3 linked regions of the Tamandua tetradactyla genome follow. The protein of the gene in region 2 interacts with the protein of the main gene of each other region in a biochemical or structural test. Links are inferred from orthologs where the notes say so. Each region holds a gene or a part of one and is shown on either strand. Other genes may lie near its edges. The genes, in order: ELK1, MAPK8 and MAPK8IP3.

Evidence for each region.
Region 1: of the proteins of MAPK8 (region 2) and ELK1, one has a biochemical effect on the other in vitro, tested with the Homo sapiens proteins (3 studies listed by BioGRID). The link is inferred for Tamandua tetradactyla from reciprocal best matches to the Homo sapiens genes MAPK8 and ELK1.
Region 3: the proteins of MAPK8 (region 2) and MAPK8IP3 form a complex in vitro, tested with the Homo sapiens proteins (3 studies listed by BioGRID, with this or other methods). The link is inferred for Tamandua tetradactyla from reciprocal best matches to the Homo sapiens genes MAPK8 and MAPK8IP3.

Annotation. Positions count from the first base shown.
Region 1 is NC_135353.1:122,482,860-122,486,606, forward strand, and holds the start of ELK1 (ETS domain-containing protein Elk-1), read left to right. Parts: upstream 1-905; 5' UTR 906-1,118; intron 1,119-3,747. UniProt on the Homo sapiens protein: Transcription factor that binds to purine-rich DNA sequences. Forms a ternary complex with SRF and the ETS and SRF motifs of the serum response element (SRE) on the promoter region of immediate early genes such as FOS and IER2.
Region 2 is NC_135339.1:7,465,010-7,468,756, reverse strand, and holds the start of MAPK8 (mitogen-activated protein kinase 8), read left to right. Parts: upstream 1-1,055; 5' UTR 1,056-1,219; intron 1,220-3,747. UniProt on the Homo sapiens protein: Serine/threonine-protein kinase involved in various processes such as cell proliferation, differentiation, migration, transformation and programmed cell death.
Region 3 is NC_135349.1:55,767,589-55,771,335, forward strand, and holds the start of MAPK8IP3 (C-Jun-amino-terminal kinase-interacting protein 3), read right to left. Parts: upstream 2,623-3,747; 5' UTR 2,603-2,622; coding exon 2,276-2,602; intron 1-2,275.

The sequences.
Region 1 (3,747 bases), on a different chromosome or scaffold from region 2:
TCCATTCCTTTTATTCCATTCCTTTTCCTGGAAACCACCCTTTGAGTTTCCACAGAGAATGAGCCAGTTCAGGGTGAAGATTTGGTACCAACACAGTCACCCTTTCACTCCTGGCGCTAAGGCTTACCCCTGCCCTGCGCCGTAGTCGTTCCGCAAATACCCTAATTATGCCCTAGTTCCTCTCGGCCCAACCTCGGCCTCACCCCTACTTCTTAATGGTTCAAGCTTCTGCCAATAGGTGCAGAGTTGGGTCCCGCCCTTCCCCAGCCCTGCGCGGGCCTCTAAGCTAAGATGAGTCCAGCTTCCGCCAATCAGAGTAGAGCCAGGTTCCTCCCCTTTGTAATTCTGGCCGCGGCTCGACCCTGCCCTCTTCGTAGGCATTTGATTTCCTCCACTCAGCGCTTCTCGTGTCTAGCAGCCGTACCGCCCTCCTACTTCCGCTCCAATCTAAATTAGTATTTTCTAGCCAGTCCTCAGAGTTACGCTGGCCGCCAGGTCCACTGCTACTCCCACTTCTATAGAAGTCCGGCTTCCGCTGAGCAGCGTGGAGTGCGGCACTGCCCCCTTGATGTTTTGGCAGCTGTCTAGGAGACACTTTTCCGCCAATCAGCAAAGGGTAGGGCCCACCCTCTTCTCCGAGGCTGGCTATCTCTTCCATCAATCCTATTTAGGCCAATCCGTGCAGGCAGAAGCCCCCAGACCCTTGTCAGCCGCCCACTGTCTATCAGTCCTTGAGCCAATCAGCACAGGGCATCTGTGGGGCTGGGTTCGCTCCCCCGCCCCGACCCTCGGGCGGCCATCCGCGTTCCAACAGTTCCGCTTGGGCCAATCAAGGCACAGCTCTGAGGCTGTGGGGCCCGCCCCTCACTCCCACCTCCCGAAATCGCACGTTTGATCTGTGCTGCTTGGGCCAACCAGCGAGTGGCAGGACGCTTGTCTCCGCCCCCATGGGCCCACGTGAGCGGTAGGGAAACGCAAGGGCGGCTTGTGGGTGCCGCCGCCGCCGCAACCGCCGCCGCCGCCTCAGAGCCGAGCCTGGGGGGCGGTGGGGCCGCGCATGGAGCCCCCGCCCCCCGGAGCTGCCAACACTGCCCACGCCGCTGCACCGCTCTGCACAGGTGAGCCCTGGGCCTGGAGGGTGGGGGCCCGCGTCCGTGACCCCTTGTATCCTTCCCGCCCCCGCGTGGGGCGATGTGGCTTGGCCCATCGCCTACTGGTATTCGACTCCCCACAGTACCGCCACCGCTGGTGGAACTGCCCGTGGCATTGTCCCCTCCCTTCGCCCCTTGTAGTATATCTGAGTGTGGTCTATCCCCCGCTCCCGTTTTGTAATGGATCAGCCTGCGTGCTTGAATTTTTCCCCATCCCAACTTACAGTGGACCCGTCCATGTTCTAGCCCCCATCCCCACTTATTAGGGATCAGTCTGTGGCACTGTCGGACCCCTTTTATATATAGGTGAGTCTGGGTGCTTGTATTTTTCTGTCCGCAACTTTCAAGGGACCCGTCTGTGGCCTTGTTTGTTCTACCCCTCCTCTTCCTTGTAGTGAATTAATCCGTGGCGTTGTACCCTCACCCCTCTTGAATAGTCTGTCAGTTTATATTCCTTTCTCCTCCAGTCCCCAAGTGCAGCGGTCCATGACTTTATCTGCCGTCCTCCCTCTCCCCCCACCCACCCCATTTTATAGTGGATCAGTTACATCCCCCTAGTCATCAGTCCGTTGCCCTGTCTCTCCTCCCTTTTCTGTACACTGTCAATTCGTGGGTTTCTCCTATCCTTTTAATTCTGAATCAGTCTAGTGCTTTGTATCTCCCCACTTCCAGGAGCGCAGGCCATAGCCTTGTGCTTATCTCCTTTTATCAGTCTGTGTGATGGCTTTTCTTCCCCTCCACTGTAGTGTATCAGTTAGTGAGCTTTTCTGCTGCCCTATTTGCCAGTAGGTGAGTTCATGGCCTTACTCCCCATCCCCTCTTTGTAGTGGATCTGTCCAATGGCCTTCCTGCTACCTGTGTGCTTACATTCACGTCCCTACCCCCACTTGCCCATCTATGAATCCAATGCTTTTATATTCCCCCTCCTTTCCTTGTGGTGCCTCAGTCCATGCCCTGCCCCCCCCCCCCTTCAATAATAGTGGATAAGTCTGTGTGATTGTTGAACCTAGGTCTTTTTTACTCTGGAACACACCCCCTCACACTCTTAACCACCAAGACATTCTTCCTTACTAAAATAAATGAATACATTAGTGATAATGATAATAATGCTAGTAGGAGCTAAAATTTATCAAGCACCTAGTATGTAAGGCATGCTTTTTCAGTGTTTTATATTAATGAACTCATTTAATCCTCACCACAACCCTATGAGATAGGTATTATCATTTTCCCCATTTCACGGATGGAAAACTGAGGCATGGGGAGGTTAGATACCTTACTCAAAGGTAATCTCAGAAAGAACCAGGTTAGGTTGCCCCTTAGGGCACAGGATAATATTTGAGGCTCCCCTCTGTCACTTCATCAAACCCCGCATAAGCCCCACTCCGTTAAAATCAAATTAGTTCTTATCTCCAAGCTTTTATTCTTGCAATTCCCTCTGCCTGCAGAGATGTCTCCATTCCACACCTTGTCCCAGCACCCACCCATCCCCAGTCCTACAGCAACTGTGACCTTAGATTAGTAAATTAACTGTCTTCTCTCTGTGCCTGTTTTCTCTCTTCCAAGATGGGGAGAATAGGGTGAGAACCCCATCACCCCACCCCTGCCCAGTATTTATAAAGAATACCTGAGTTAGTAACAATAAAATAAGTTACCTCTCTGACCTCACCTCCTAGACCTCCACCCCCTCACTAACTCTGCCCCAGTCACACTGGCCTCCTCATGATTCTCCAATACACCAAGCCTTGGGGCCTTTGCACTGACTTTTCTTTCTTCCAAGAACACTCTACCCCCAGATATCTGCATGGTTGTCTTTACAGCTCTGTTAAAATGTCAGCCTCTCAATGAGGTCCTCCCACCATCTTGTTTAAAAGAGATCCCTGGACCCACACACCCAGCAGTACTCAGGCCTCTTCCCTGCTGTATTTGTCTCTGCCTTTTGTCACACTCTTGACACATTGCATAATTTACCAGTTCACTATCCTTTCTGTCTGTCTCTCCCCATTAGAATGGGAGTCCCATGGGGTTTATAGTTTTTGTCTGCTTATTCACTGCTGTGTCTCCAGCACCTAAAAATGTACATGGCATGTAGTAGGTGCTCAATAAGAATTTATTATGGGAATGAATGGAAAAATAATTTCAGACAAATCAGGGTGGGAGACAGATGGAGATGAAGAGGGGACATGAGAGCTAGTTAAGAGGCTAGTTAGCTGGATCTGTTCATTCAACAAACATTTACTGAGTACCAGATGCTCTTCTAGGTGCTGAGAATTTGGGAGGGAACAAAACAGACAGATATCTCTGCCCTTGTGCAGCAGCCATTTATTGAGGGAGACAGCCTATATAAATAAAACTGTAAATAAAATTAGATGGTATTTTAGAGAAGTATGAAGAGAAGAAAGGAAGGTAGACATTGAGTATTGGGGTGTTTGAAATGTTAAGGTGGAGCAGCTAGAAGGAAAAATCTGAGATAATGGAATGGTAGCCCATGACAAACTCTGGGATCTGTTCTGTAACTACTTGTAGAAGAGTGCTTTGAAAATTATTGCTTTTTTCTTTCTTTGCTTTGTAAATATGTTATATTTGCGATTTTTAAAAA
Region 2 (3,747 bases):
GTTTCCCTTCAGAATCACTGGGCACAGCTCAGCCCAACACGTTATGGGAAAGTAGTCTAGCTGCATCCACTCATTTACTCAACAAATATTTACGTATTCAGTAGTAAAGTAGCTCATTTATTTCTTGGAAACCATGGAAAACACCTAATGTATAAAGGAGAAACAAACCACCTTTCATTCCATATCCAATGATGAACTGCTTCTAAAATATTTTTGAATATTTCTCTTCCAGTTTTTTTTCCTATGCATATAGTTCATAAGGGGGATCATTTTATGTATATGTATGCACACACACGCACGCTTGTATCTTCTTTCTCTTAATGTTACATTGTGAACATTTTCCCATAGCTGTAAGAATTCCTTGCACACGTGGGTTTTAAATGGCTAAAATGTATTCATTTCATTGCATGGACGTACTTAAATACCTTTCCACCTACTGTCTATTGTCGGATATTTAAGGGCTTGTCTAGCACTTCCAGTGACCATTTGCAAAATATTTACCGTGCTTTTTAGGGCCTCAGAGATAAACAGGTAAGGTACGGATTCTGGGAGGAAGTGGATTTGGGGAAAACAGGAGGAGGCTCTTTCCGGGAGCCTGAAGAAAACAGTTATTTGCTTGAGGGTTGCAGGTCCCGGGTAGGTGCCCTCGGAGTGGAACGTGCGATGTGTCTAAGTGAGGAGCTCTTTGCCTCTCAGATGTGCAGCAGGCGGGAGGTGACCTCTGAGGGGCGGGTCGGGCCAAGGCTCCTAACCTCCTAGTCCAGGGCGGAGGAACTGCCCGCAGGCGGGGGCCCAAGCCACGCGCCGCCACGTGCCCGGCACAGACCCCGCCCCTCCCGCGCCCGCCACGCCCCTCAGCCGCTTGGCACGCGGGGCCCCTGGCCCCCCCAGCTCCGCCCCCAGGCGACCTCCGCATAGCCTCCTTCCTCCCGGCATAGCCCCGCCCCCTGCTGCCGGCCCCGCCTCCGCAATCCGGGCCTTGGGGCCGCGTCCACCCCGCGGGCCGCTCCGTAGGCGCGGGAGGCGGAGTCTGCGCGATGACGTAGACGGGCGTGCGCCGTGACGGCCCGCGTCCCTGTTACTCAGCGGAGCGGCGGAGACCGGACGACGCGGCCCGGGGTGCGGAGCCGCGAGCAGTGCTGGGTAACGGCCGTGGCAGCGTCTGGACGCGAGGGTGCCCGCCGGCTGACTTCCTCCCCTTCGTTCTCTCCGCTGCCGGGTGAGTGCCGCGCGCGCCGCAGGGCCCGGGCGACGGGGCGGCCCCGCCGTGTTTATGTTATTGTGCCGCCGCCGTCGCCGCCTTCGCCTCAGCAGTGACCCCCTCCCGGGAGTGGGGGCGGGAGCGCGCGGGGTGGGGGTGGGCCGGCGCGGGAACAATAGCTGCCCGGCAAGCGGGGGCCGCGCGGGGCTGCGGGCCACCTGGAGCCGGTCCCGGTGGGTCGAGCCGAGCTGCGCCGCCCGCCGTCCCTCTCGCGCGTGTCCCGCTTCCACGTCGGGAGGTTGCCGAGGGGCGGGGGCAAGTTCAGGAACGCCCGGGGGGAGGTCGAAACCGAGGCGTCCCCGCTGCCTCCCGGGTTCCGAGGCCCACGGGGACCGTGCTCTGTTCCTCGGTGGTTTCTTTGTGCTCACGTTTGCAGGCGAGCGCGGACAGCCTCGTCGGAAAGGGCCAGTGTGGCCTCCAGCCCGGGGCCTGTAGCTTGGGCGGGAGGTGGCTTCATTGAGCTGGGCTGGATCTTCCTCTTGAGGGTCAGTCCGTGGTGACCTTTTGACTTTTTCACCCCATCCTCCCGTGTCTTTGTCCTGCACTCACGTCCTCAATCCATACAACCAAGTGCGTTTTAAAGTACTAGGAGAAACACTTTTTCATTTTAATTTCCAAGAGTCTCCTGTTAGGTCTTCACTGTAAATGTAATGACATGTTGACTGCCTCGTATCAGACATTGTCCAGGGCTTACTATTTTTACCTCTCAAACTCAGTGATCTTTCGAGTAGAATTGTAGTGTCAGTCCATTGTGTTTTAAAATAAGCATCCAGCAAGTACCTCCTTGGCAATTAGAACATCTGTTTATTTCACTCATTCATTCAACAGCTGTTCTGTACACAGGTGGAGAGACTGAAAGGTAAAGAGAAATGTCCTTTAATAGAAGAGTGTGCTTTGATAGAAATATAATATGAATACCTTTAAATTACACAATTATGTAAGTCATGTGTTACGTACCTGATGTGTGTAAAAGAAGGTAAGGAGTCCTACTGTAGTTTATTTTCGTGTTTTTGAAATAGTTCGTCTGGAACTGTGAAAGTAATGATATTCTAGGAGCTAGTGCTACATTTGGTCTACAGGTATTTCTAAATTTTACTTTTTCTGCTCTTGTAAAGCCTCTTTTGTAGTGATTACCTCAGAATCTCCTGCTGTCATTTAAGCCTAGAAAGTCATGATGTAATGAACAAGTTCAGTGCAGTACCTCACAAATGCAAGCAATCAAAATGGGACTTCCTTGAGGGTAGGCCTGTCTTGCATTTGGGTTTCCAGCACCTAGCCTGTAAAGTAAGTGCTCAAAAAGGCAGGTTGATGAAAAGCTTCTTATAATTGATGAAATTAAAAGCAAGCCTTAAAAACAGTTTTGATGTTCCCCATAAAGTTCTGGAAGCGTCATGCAAACCGTCATTTCCAGATGGCTAAAGGATCAGTTCCTCTGTATCTGTCATGACAGTTGGGTCTTTTGAATCACCTCAGTATCAGTTTTTTACTATCACTTTTGGGTCATTCACTATCCTAAAACTTTCTCTAAAATGTTTTTTAATGAGGTAAGGTAAGTTGTAAGGTTAGTGTGTGTATATGCCTGTGATATTTTAGTAATAACCTACGATTGCAACGCATCCCTTTGTTAATATTTTTGAAAAGGCTTTTGGTGACTCCTTTATTTTAAGTGGAAAAGCTAGAACAAAGAAACAAGTCGCAGAAATGTATTAGAAATGTTTAATTTCAAATAGAATTTTAGAGAGGTTTATGAGAAATGTTTTTAAACTCTCATATTAACACTGATGAAACGTGGGCTTAAGATCAAAATAGTATTTTATCCAAGTTATATCTCTTTCCCACTATTTGATAAATTTTAGGATTTGTTTTGGATATGAAAGAATTTGAGGTGGGCTTATTTTTTATTTGATGTAGAATAGAATTGAATAAATTAGAAAATGATACTCTATTAAGATAAAAGTTATACCAGATATTTATTATTTTACCTAGATAAAATATGTCCGTTTGCGATAAGGGTTACTGATAAAAATCATCACAGTCAGGTTACATGAGAACCAAGATTTTTGTTTTGTTCTAAATTCTACGTTATATTTAGATAGCTTTGTTGTGATGCAATTCACGTATCATAAAGTTTACTCTACATGTGCAATTTAGTGGTTTTTAGTATGTTTACAAAGATGTGTGTAGACCCTCACTGTCTAATTCCAGAGCATTTTCATTACCCCAAGAAGAAAACCCATAACCATTAACTAAACTCCCTCTTCACTCTTCTCTGAGTCCTATTTTAGAGGAAGAGACAGCAGTGATTCTGTAGATAGGTATTTTGCATTGAGGAATTTGAAAGGAGCATCCTGGTGCAGTAGGAAGATTATGTCCTCATATGTCTCTATATTGTGGGGGAAAATGTCATTTGGGCAGAAATTAATGTCAGAATAAATTCTCCTTAAATTAATGAAGTTAATTAATAAGAATCTTAATTACTTACTCAG
Region 3 (3,747 bases), on a different chromosome or scaffold from region 2:
GAAACTCCCCTGGGCTCTGAGACCCAAGGGCAGGGCTGACACTCAGCGTCCGCGCTACCAGGTGTGGACCACATGGTCTCCGGTTACCACAAGTCCCACTGAACTAGCCACTTGGTAGCAGAACATACTCGCAATTTCTAACTGCAGTTATTACAGGCAAAAAGAAATAGGGACAGGCATGTCTGCCCTGCTGAAGGCTTTCTCTCTCTCTTTTTATGAAAATCTGCAGATTTTGTCTGCTCAGAGGCTGCAGGCAGCTCAGGTTACTTCCTCTGACTAAGCCTTCTTGAGCAGAGTGGTTGGGGACAGGCTCCGGCTAGGGCTCATATGGGAGGAGTCTGCAACGCCAACATCTTGGAGCTTGCAATACTCTAGCCCTTGTTATCAGACACATAAATACGTCATCACAATTCTCTGTCTGGAGAAAGAAGCTGGTCCGCAGTGCCATGGTGGTCTTTTCCCACAGAACTAAAACGCATGTCCGGTTGATTTAACAGTGACTTAGAATGCCAAGCATTTCTGTAGCTGTAACATCACTTGAGGTCTTCCCAAGGACATACTACCAGCATCTAACCCAAACCTTGAGGCTGCTAGCCAAGTATGTGTTTTCTTCACGGCTCTCTGCTCATGCAGCTCTCTGGGCAGCTTCTCTGAATAGCTGCCCTAGTGCTGGTTCTCAGACCCCAACCACACACGCACACCCAACAGCTCTCAGTCCAGCAGTGAGGGTCAGTAGGAGGGCAAAGCACACTTGGTAGAGGTTGCATGTGAAGTGCACAGAGCAGAGAAAGCCTGATCTATGTACAGCTAATTTTAAAGCAAAGCTATGATTCTTAGCTACAAGACTGTCCCTTTTGACTTTTCTCCTTTTAGTTCCTTTTCACCCACTACTGAAGGAAGAAAAACCAATCTGAAACCTCCATTGTGCATCAAATGGGCACTAGAGCCGAGAGAGAGGTGGAGGGCAGTGCCCAGTGCCCAGGTATGGTACTCTGATCCCCAGAGCTTGAGACAGGAGGAAGTGTCAAGCTGGGAGTCAGGGCTCGCTCCAGGGCCCAGTCCTGCTCACCCGCAGTGTGTGACCTTGGTCGGGTCCCTCCACTCCTCGGGTGGCTCCTACCCCGGAAAATGCCCAGGCTGCTCTGAGCTCTGAAGTTCTCTGCGCTATCGCACGCCCTTACGTTGAGAGATTGAGCTCAGCTCTGGTGGCACCTGGGCACCCCCATCAACAGACAGCAGCAGCCTCTTGACAGATAACAGGAAATCCCAGAGCAAAATAAACCACACTAAATAGGAACAGTACAAGACACTGTTCCTTTCTATAAATAAACTTTAAGTCAAATGAGGGTGTAAACCGGGTTTAAGGAAAACTCAAAATACTGAAGCAACCTTTCATTTCAGTACTGAAGTCAGGAATGTGCTACATGAATGACAAGGGAATCTGAACTCATTTGACAGGACACCTCCTCTCCGTAAATCAAAGCGCTCCCCCTAACTCCTGCCACAGCAGCACCTCCAGGCGGGGGTCCATCCAGGGCAACTTGCTCATCTGACTGATGGAGCATCCCAGCCGGGAGCAGGCCCGCCAGCGGCCAAGGTCACAGAGGGGGTCTGCGGCCAGGCAGGGGTGGAATCCCATATCCCCCACCCCCCTTCACTCTGCTGTCCTCCACAAAGGGCAAAGCCGCAGGTCGGGCGAGTGACCACGCTCAAGTATTCGGTGGTGAAGGAACGAAGCTGCTGGTATTCCCTCGCACACAGCTGGCCCCAAACCGGCCGATTTCCAGGCAATGGAGGCGGCCTACAACACAACCCAACCTTTCAAAGCCTGCAGAGCCAGGGCGGAGCCCCTGGCCGCCCACAGCCAACTCTGTCGCCCCCGCAGGGAGCCAAGGGGCACCTCCCCACCCGAGTCTTTCACCCGATGCGGCTTTCGTGACGTGGTATGTCCACCACCTGGTCCACTCAAGCCGCAGACCCGCCAGATGCTGCGTGAGGAACAAAGGAAAAGGGCTCCCGACACCCGCGGCGCTCCTGGGCGGCGGAGGGGCCGGAGATGGTGACCCCGGGGTCTGGGGGTGAGAAGGGGAGGCGCGTGGGGCGGCGGGCGGCGCGTGGGGCGGCGGGCGGCGCGGGGCGGCGGGGGGGACGGGGCGGGCGGGGAGCGGGGCGGCGGGGGGGACGGGGCGGGCGGGGAGCGGGGCGGCGGGGGGGACGGGGCGGGCGGGGAGCGGGGCGGCGGGGGGGACGGGGGCGGCCGCGCGGGCCCACGCACCTCCTCGGCCTGCCTGCGCAGCGCCTTCTCGCGCTCGTACTGCGTGAGCAGCTGCTCGTTGTCCTCACGCAGCAGCTCCAGCTCCACCTCGTGCTCCTGGTTCTCGCTGAGCACCGAGTCCAGGTTCTCCAGCACGTTCACCACGAGCGGCATCAGCTCCTTGACCACCTCCTCGTCGTAGCAGTGGATAAGGCGCTCGAACTCGCGGTAGATGGAGCCCGCCAGGCCCGACACCCGCTCGGACATCACCGAGCCCGAGCAGTAGTCGTCCTGGTACACCACCACGCCGCCGCCCTCGTCCATCTGGATCTCCATCATCGCGGCCATCGCCGCCGCCAGCGCGGCCCGCCGTCCGGCCGCCGCGAGGGTCCGCAGGCCGCAGCAGGTCCTCGCCGCCGCCGCCGCTGTCGCCTCAGGCTCGGCCGCCGCGCCCGTCACTCACTGGCCGGAAGCCCCGCCCGCGCCGGAAGTCCCGCCCCCGCGCCGGAGCCCCGCCGCGCGGCGCCGCCAGGGGTCGCCCAGCGTGAGAGGAAGCGGGTGTCGCGAGTCTCGCGGGGGGCGGGGGCGGAAACTCGGCTGGGCTGGGCAGGATGTGTTTCCGGTGGAGCCGCCCGGGGACCCGCCCGGGCTTCGAGACCGGGGGCGTGTGGTGTTTCCCAAACGGTTCTGCTTGGACTTCAGCCCGCCCCCGTTTACAAACAGGAACGTCCCTGGAAGCCCCGCGGCGGCGCTTCTCTCCAGGGCGGCCGTGGCCCGGCGCCCGCGGTCCTCTGAGCACCGGTGCAGCGTGACCGCGGAGCTGCGCGTCCCCACGGCGCGGCCCACCGCTTCTTAAGAACACCTCTGCGTCCAACCAGATGCGAGTTCGTCCCACCCTAAAATCCTGTAGCTTAGTCTGTTTCTGCCCTGCTTTTTTGTGTAACTTATTCAGATCCTCGTTTTTCTGCTGTCTTATTTTACCTGTCCATTGCATTTTTCATTTCAGTGGTTACTTTTAAATTTTCTATTTGCCCCATTTGGTTTTCTTATGTTTTACCAGTTCTTATAGGCGCTTATTCCTTACAGTTTAAGCGCTTTTTTTTTGGTATCTGAGTTCCATTACCAAATTTTTCAGGTCTGATTCTGCATTCTGCTCAGGCTCCCTCCCCCAGCCCCCTCTAGCTAGTGTTCCATGGGACGTCATCTGTGAAATTGTGGCTGTTTTAAAATGAGCTGCTCTGCAGGGTTTGTCTTTTCTTTTGCAGGGCATCGGGGGCTCTTTGAACCCACAACTAACATTTTCAGCCTGGGATTTACGTAGGCCACATAGGTGCTGTGAATTCTGGTCAAAAACCAAATCAGTGCCTGCTTAAATGCTCCCCTTTCACCTTCTGAAATGCTTCAGAGCCAATGCGAACCCTCATCATATCCCAGTTACACCCAAACAAGGAATTCTTCTGTCATTGACACCCCTAAACACACACTATATTTTC